Saccharomyces cerevisiae S288C: one gene and its partners. The protein of the gene in region 1 interacts with the protein of each later gene in a pairwise test. Each region holds a gene or a part of one and is shown on either strand. Other genes may lie near its edges.

Region 1 (2,416 bases):
ACCGCTGTTATTTTTAACATCCACTGCGTTTTATGTATCTCTAAAATTGTGCGTTGCCTTTCTTTTGTTTATATTTTTGTTCAAAAAATGAGTTAATAATGATTTTTCATCTTCGGCTTACCGGTCTTGAAAATATTTGTTAAGACAACAGTGGATAAAATAAAACTAAACAACTCAAGCAAAAGTATTCCACTTCTTAAACAAAGCCCAACTGAAAGGTTGCGAAATACTATGTCATTTTGATTTAATCATCTAATGCTCGAGAAAATTTCAGAGCCGTAATACTTAAGTAATCGGAAGAAAAGTATCTCATTCTTCATTTTTCTCCAAATATATACCTCTTGTGTGAAAAATTAATTGTTTCCTCCACCTCCTTTGTGTGGTGGGCAATTGTGTGCTTCCGAGTAAATAACAAAACATAAGGATAATATATAATTCTGTTTTTTTGTCTAAAAAAGGTAAACTATATATAACAAACACAGTATAGAAACACAATATATCGGTCATTGGGTGAGTTTAAGCATTAGCAGCAATGGCTTGCTTAATAGCCGCTGGGTTGGCACCAACAACCTTTGCAACTTCCTTACCGTTCTTGAATAGAAGCAAAGTTGGCATAGCGGAAACTTCATTCTTTTGTGCAACATCACCCAATTCATCGACATCCAATTTATAGAAATCAGCTTGTGGGTATTGTTCAGAGAATTTTTCAATCATTGGAGCAATCATTTTACATGGACCGCACCAAGTGGCGTAGAAATCTACGACAACTAGCTTGTCTTGAGCAATTGCAGAGTCGAATTCGCTGGCAGTTTTGAATTGAGTAACCATTATTTGTATCGAGGTGTCTAGTCTTCTATTACACTAATGCAGTTTCAGGGTTTTGGAAACCACACTGTTTAAACAGTGTTCCTTAATCAAGGATACCTCTTTTTTTTTCCTTGGTTCCACTAATTCATCGGTTTTTTTTTTGGAAGACATCTTTTCCAACGAAAAGAATATACATATCGTTTAAGAGAAATTCTCCAAATTTGTAAAGAAGCGGACCCAGACTTAAGCCTAACCAGGCCAATTCAACAGACTGTCGGCAACTTCTTGTCTGGTCTTTCCATGGTAAGTGACAGTGCAGTAATAATATGAACCAATTTATTTTTCGTTACATAAAAATGCTTATAAAACTTTAACTAATAATTAGAGATTAAATCGCTTATTGCTTAGCGTTGGTAGCAGCAGTCAACTTAGCTTGTTCAACCAAGTTTTGTGGAGCATCGAAGACTGGCAACATGATTTCAATCATTCTGATCTTAGAGTTGTCGTTGAAAGACTTGTCTTGGGTCAACTTGTCCCATTCACCGGTGGTAGCGACTCTGTGGGTTTCATAGTCCTTAGCACCGAAAGTTGGCAACAAGGATAGGTGGTCCCAACCTTGAATTTCGTTGTATTGAGCCTTTGGACCGTGAATCAACTTTTCAATGGTGTAACCATCGTTGTTCAAGACGAACAAGTATGGCTTCAAGCCCCATCTGATCATGGTGGAGATTTCTTGAACAGTCAATTGCAAAGAACCGTCACCAATGAATAAGATAACTCTCTTCTTTGGATCAATTTCTTCAGCAGCGAAAGCAGCACCCAAGGTAGCACCAGTGGTGAAACCAATGGAACCCCATAAGACTTGAGAGATACCGTAGGTGTTGTTTGGGAAAGTGGTTTGGTTGATACCGAAAGCGGAGGTACCGGTTTCAGCAATGACAACATCACCTTCTTGCAAGAAGTTACCCAATTGGTTCCACATCCATTCTTGCTTCAATGGGGTAGAAGCTGGGACAGCAGCGTTAGCTGGAGTTCTAGCTGGGACAGCAACTGGCTTGTAACCCTTAGCGGCGTCAGCAATAGTGGTCAACAACTTTTGCAAAACGAATTTCATTTGGACACCTGGGAAAGTGGCGTTTCTGATCTTCATGTGGTCGGAGTGGAATTCGACAATGTTCTTGGTCTTGTAAGAGTAAGAGAAAGAACCGGTGTTGAAATCAGACAACAAAGCACCGACAGACAAAATCAAGTCAGCAGATTCAACGGCTTCCTTAACTTCTGGCTTGGACAAGGTACCGACGTAAACACCACCGTATCTTGGGTGTTGTTCGTCAATGGAACCCTTACCCATTGGGGTGACGAAAGCTGGGAATTGAGTCAAGTCAATCAACTTCTTAGTTTCAGCCTTGACGTCGTGTCTGGAACAACAAGCATCAGCCAAGATAACTGGGTTCTTAGCATCCTTGACCAAAGCCAAGATGGTGTCAATGACTTCCTTTTCGGATTCAGCATCGTTTGGCTTCAAAGACATGTCAATTGGAGTTTGCAACAACTTAGCTGGGACGTTCAAGTCGACCAAGTTAGCTGGCAAACCTAAGTAGACTGGTCT
Region 2 (2,691 bases), on another chromosome or scaffold:
TTGGGTTGTGCTACTGGTCACTCATCTTTCGTTATGTCTTGTTCCTTCTCTAACCAAGTCTTAGCTCAAATTGCTTTGTTCAAGTCTAACGATAAGTCTTTCAGAGAAAAGCACATTGAATTCCAAAAGACAGGCCCATTCGAAGTTGGTGTCCACGTTTTGCCAAAGATCTTGGATGAAGCTGTCGCTAAGTTCCACTTGGGCAACTTGGGTGTTAGATTGACTAAATTGAGTAAAGTCCAATCTGAATACTTGGGTATTCCAGAAGAAGGTCCATTCAAGGCCGACCACTACAGATATTGATCAATTCAATTCCCATTTCAGTTCTTCTTTCTCACTATTTTTTAATGTTCAAAAACTCAACGGTTTGATCATCAAAAAAGATCATAAATAAATTGCAAATATAAAAACAACAGCTAACAATCCTATCACAGTATTAATACTAATACATGTGATACTAAGTTACGTTATCGAAAAGATAGATCCTGTATACCTATATATATAATAAATTCTTCAACAGTAAATATTTCATTCATGCACTTGACTTTTTTTCATAAATAAGGGCACGTACACTAAAAAAGCTACATTTCTCTCAGATAATGAGTAGGGCATGCATATCCCTGTGGATTCTTATCTAAATATAACTGGTGGTATTCTTCAGCATCGTAAAAGTTCTTGATTGGTTCAATAACTGTGGCAATCTTATTACCCCATTTTGGTTGCCATTCTTCCTTTATTTTGGCTAATTCTTTTAAATCAGCATCTGAATGAGCGAACAATCCACTGCGATACTGTGTACCTTTATCAGGTCCTTGTGAATTAGATGTAGTAGGATCATGGATTCTAAAAAAGAAATCAGTTAATTCTCTCAAAGTTATCACTTTGGGATTATAGGATACTTGTAAAACCTCCGCAAAATCTGTGTCACCACCACAAACTCTCTTATAAGAGACACTAGAGGGGCTATCCTTTTTAGACTCTTCTCCATTAGCGTAACCTACTTTACAATCCACTATACGGTCATTCAAATACTTCCTATACATATGTTCTGTACCCCAAAAACATCCACATGCTAATGTGATTAATTTATCCTTGGCTGGATCATACTTAATGGTTTTTGAAATAAGCGACGACATTGCAACTTGATTTACTTGTTAAGTTTTTGACGTTAGAATATAACTGTCTTTCCAATTAAATCTATATATATGATATTGAAAAATGTGTCTCTGTCTACTCTTGTTTATATATGCCCTTCATTTTACTCATCGCAACTCCCTCGTTTTCGGCGCGATCAACTGTGGTGGCGGATTTTTTGACGCTGTGCCCGTTAACTCATTCAATAGTGCTACTGCTATCACTGTCACAGGCTACAAACCGGTCGACTGTATCTTGTGCGTCTGTGACAAGTTGGTCAAGGACAGAGGAGTGTTCTCTTTCTAACCTTGGAGCAGTCAAGTTTGGAGGCAACATCTTAGTACCTTGAAGGCGAGCATTGATTGTGATGCTTGAGCGTGATTTTAAACCAGACTCAGGCGGATTTTTCTCAGCATTAGTAGTTCTTGACTTTTTTATTGGTGATATTTCTATTACGTCCTTCCAAACGTCAACCTGTTCGTCCTGTGTAAGATCCCGAATTCTTTTACCGGGTGAACTATCTAAAACGCTTTGGCTGTTTGTAATCTCATCTACAAAAATCAACGAATCATCGTCATTATCGCTGTGTTCATCGACGGTGGTCAGTCTTGTGGGAGCCGGTATTTCTTCCAGACTAGTATCTTCGTCTGTATCTACAAAAAGCCTTTTTCTCACAGGTTCCAGGATTTCCTTTCTCGACTCGCCTACCTTTCCGATACTTTTAATCGGCGAAGTATGCTTTCTTAAAAACTCATCCAAGTTATTCTTCTGTGGTAGCCGAGACTTATTCGATTTTTTACCTTTCTTCTCTTTTTCTTTCTGTATAAGTTGCTGTGTCTCATAATATTGAATTACTAATGGATGCGATTGAGGTATCAAGTATTTGGGTAACCAAAGACTATTTGGGTGTTCCATTATATCCATCTGACGTCGTGTGGGACTCTTGCTTCTACTGGGAGAATTACTGCGCTTCAAAGGAGATTGAGAAGAAATGGGTATATTAGGCAAGAATGTTGTATACCGTATTTTAAAACATGGTATTTGGAACTTTCCACCATCTATGTTCATAATTTTTTCTTCGGTAATCCTCATATTACCTTTACCTATATTATCGGACTCATCAATTGATAAAAATTCTCTTAATAGAAACATCTCGTGCATAGAATCATGAAACCACTTGTCGAAGCTAGAAATTTGAGGCAAATTCAAACTTTGTAAAAAATATTTCAGTTCATTGAAATTTAAGTTTCTGTAGTGTCCGTTTCCAGCCATATTTATGTATTTATCACTGAGAACTTCTTCATCAAAATATGGTTGGACAATGGGGTGAAAATAGTGCATGATTGCGACAGTTGATGGCCAGCCTTCAAATGAACCTTGATTCAATAAAACAGGATAATTTCTTCCAAATAGCTCGACAGAATGATCCTTGCAGTATAAATATAATCTTTTTTGAAACAATCTATACCGAGACTTCCTCAGACTTTCTGATGTCAAATCTTCTAAATTGAAATCTTTGAAAATGTCATAAAATTCCATGGAAAAGTTAGGATCTTC
Region 3 (2,797 bases), 140 kb from region 1:
CTTTTTGTTGAATATTATTTTGCACTGGTTAGAGTGTAATTGGAAAATAAGATCGTGCGAAACTGTATCGATATAAGGCCTTTGGTATTTTAACATGCTCCAGTGTCTTTCAATACAATGTTTTACCTTTTTTGTTGGAGGTTCATATTCATCATTGTTGCCTGAATCAGTCTCGGTTTTATGAAATCCAGTAGCGGCTTTTTCACCCTCAGTTCCATTGAGACAACTGCTTACCGCTAAAGATTGGTTTCCGGTATGAAGTGATGTTAACCTTTCAATGGTTACACCCTTCTTGGAGACGCTATCAAGAGCTATGCAAACTTCTTGACAATTAGTTAAGGGATTATATATAATTTTTGCCCGCACTAATTCCTGCTCCAACCTGTTGAGACGGTAATAACGACACTCTTTTATCAGAGATGCGGTTCTTTCCTCAGACAGTTCTAATTTGGAACCGCCCAGTAAAGATAATATATCTCGGAAAAATTCTGGGGACCTTGCAATATATGAGGGTGGTAATAAAGGTGGAAAGCCCGGCTTCTTATTTGACTCCCACTTCTCAATTTCCTCATAAGATATGCGAGAAATCGTTTCAAAATAGTTCAACCGGTTCCCTTCTTCATGGAATAATGATTTTGGTACCTTAAAGGGAACACCTCCAATATTAGTGAAGTGGTAGTCGTATTCTTTTATGAGTTTAACTAACTTGGGTAACTGAAAATATAATGCGTCCGCGAAAAGACAGGTAAATTGTACTTCGTTCTTAATATCGGGAAAATAACCTTGTAAATGTCTGTATATTATGATGAACACGTCTTCCGATCTATCAACAAATAGAATCGTATTTTTATCGTGCGTATTGAAGAATTGGGTGAAAAAATTGGGCGCATCCGAATTCAATGTAGCACCTGAGATCTCAAATAGCTTTTGGCCAATCCTAATCTTGAAAACTTCATGGTTTGGTAAAAGCTCGGGGGTAGTTTCTAACTCTTTTGTATAAACCACGATCTCGCCCTTTTGGCCAGACATCTGATATGAGCGTGCGTGTGAGTGACTTTACACTTGTCTATCCACGTCCTGAAGTTGTTCGTGTTCTTTGGATATTCGTGTTCAAGCTAATAATGAGCCTTTAAGGTAATACAATTTATAAACCACCACCTTGGCCTCGATCTATTGCGCTTATGTTGTCTATTAGTAATCAAGAAAAGAACCCTAAATCATCGGCGTCCCCTGTGGGGCTCTCGGAAAAACCGGTCCTGACGTCACTGAAAAGATTTCGGCACATGGTCATGGGACCAGAGAAAAATTAATCCGACATGTGGAATATTTCCTTCCGTTAAGGTAGTGAGCGCGGATTTTTTCTGATTTGTAATTATACGGGGAGCTCTGGCCAAAAAGGTCAGTATTTGGTGATGAAGTTGAATATCATCTTTTGATTTTCTTCTGTATCATTCTTTTTCTTTTTCCACACCCCTTCCGGACGGTATTCACATATTGTTGAGAGGTTAAATGAAAAATAAAGGGGTGGAAAATTAAGGACGAGATGTAAGGGAAAAGCATAAACGAAACATTATATAAAGGAGCACAATTTCCTCTCCCTTGCCAATTGTGCATATACCGTTTCTTTATAACGAAATTTCAACAAACCAGAACAACACAAGTACTACCAATAACCACAACAAAACATGTCTGACTTAGTTAACAAGAAATTCCCAGCTGGCGACTACAAATTCCAATACATTGCTATCAGCCAAAGTGATGCTGACAGTGAATCTTGTAAGATGCCACAAACAGTTGAATGGTCCAAATTAATTTCTGAAAACAAGAAGGTTATCATTACCGGTGCTCCAGCTGCTTTCTCCCCAACCTGTACTGTCAGCCATATTCCAGGTTACATCAACTACTTGGATGAATTAGTTAAGGAAAAGGAAGTTGACCAAGTGATCGTTGTTACTGTTGACAACCCGTTCGCTAACCAAGCGTGGGCTAAGAGTTTAGGTGTTAAGGACACCACACACATCAAGTTTGCCTCCGACCCAGGCTGTGCTTTCACCAAATCCATTGGTTTCGAATTAGCCGTCGGTGACGGTGTTTACTGGAGTGGTAGATGGGCCATGGTTGTTGAAAACGGTATCGTTACTTACGCTGCCAAGGAAACCAACCCAGGTACCGATGTGACCGTTTCCTCAGTCGAAAGTGTCTTGGCTCATTTGTAGATGCTATGTAATAGACAATAAAACCATGTTTATATAAAAAAAATTCAAAATAGAAAACGATTCTGTACAAGGAGTATTTTTTTTTTGTTCTAGTGTGTTTATATTATCCTTGGCTAAGAGGCACTGCGTATACTTCAAGGTACCCCTGTGTTTTGAAAAAAAACAACAGTAAAATAGGAACTCCGCGAGGTTCAGGAACCTGAAACAAAATCAATAAAAACATTATATGCGTTTCGAACAAAATTAAAGAAAAAGAATAAATATAGATTAAAAAAAAAAAGAAGAAATTAAAAGAATTTCTACTAAATCCCAATTGTTATATATTTGTTAAATGCCAAAAAAGTTTATAAAAAATTTAGAATGTATAAATAATAATAAACTAAGTTTACAACAACAAAGCAGCGGCACCAGCCAACAAAGCACCAGCAGCTGGCAAAGCCTTAGCAGCAGCACCAGTGTAAGAGGTGACAGAGTGAGTTGGAGCAGCAGAGGTGGTGTTCTTTGGAGCTTCAGTAGAGGTAACTGGAGCAGCAGTAGAAGTACCGTTCTTTGGGGCTTCAGTGGTCAATGGGCACCAGGTG

Evidence for each region.
Region 2: the proteins of TRX1 (region 1) and MXR1 interact in a two-hybrid assay, tested with the Saccharomyces cerevisiae proteins (one study listed by BioGRID).
Region 3: the proteins of TRX1 (region 1) and AHP1 interact in a two-hybrid assay, tested with the Saccharomyces cerevisiae proteins (one study listed by BioGRID).

What each region holds. Positions count from the first base shown.
Region 1 is NC_001144.5:231,186-233,601, forward strand, and holds TRX1 (thioredoxin TRX1), read right to left. Parts: upstream 829-2,416; coding exon 517-828; downstream 1-516. Other genes in the region: PDC1 (indolepyruvate decarboxylase 1), read right to left, coding at 1,205-2,416. UniProt on the Saccharomyces cerevisiae protein: Participates as a hydrogen donor in redox reactions through the reversible oxidation of its active center dithiol to a disulfide, accompanied by the transfer of 2 electrons and 2 protons.
Region 2 is NC_001137.3:233,382-236,072, reverse strand, and holds MXR1 (peptide-methionine-S-sulfoxide reductase), read right to left. Parts: upstream 1,137-2,691; coding exon 582-1,136; downstream 1-581. Other genes in the region: SAH1 (adenosylhomocysteinase), read left to right, coding at 1-303; YEN1 (crossover junction endodeoxyribonuclease), read right to left, coding at 1,333-2,691. UniProt on the Saccharomyces cerevisiae protein: Has an important function as a repair enzyme for proteins that have been inactivated by oxidation. Catalyzes the reversible oxidation-reduction of methionine sulfoxide in proteins to methionine.
Region 3 is NC_001144.5:367,096-369,892, forward strand, and holds AHP1 (thioredoxin peroxidase AHP1), read left to right. Parts: upstream 1-1,685; coding exon 1,686-2,216; downstream 2,217-2,797. Other genes in the region: YLR108C (uncharacterized protein), read right to left, coding at 1-1,029; CCW12 (Ccw12p), read right to left, coding at 2,602-2,797. UniProt on the Saccharomyces cerevisiae protein: Thiol-specific peroxidase that catalyzes the reduction of hydrogen peroxide and organic hydroperoxides to water and alcohols, respectively.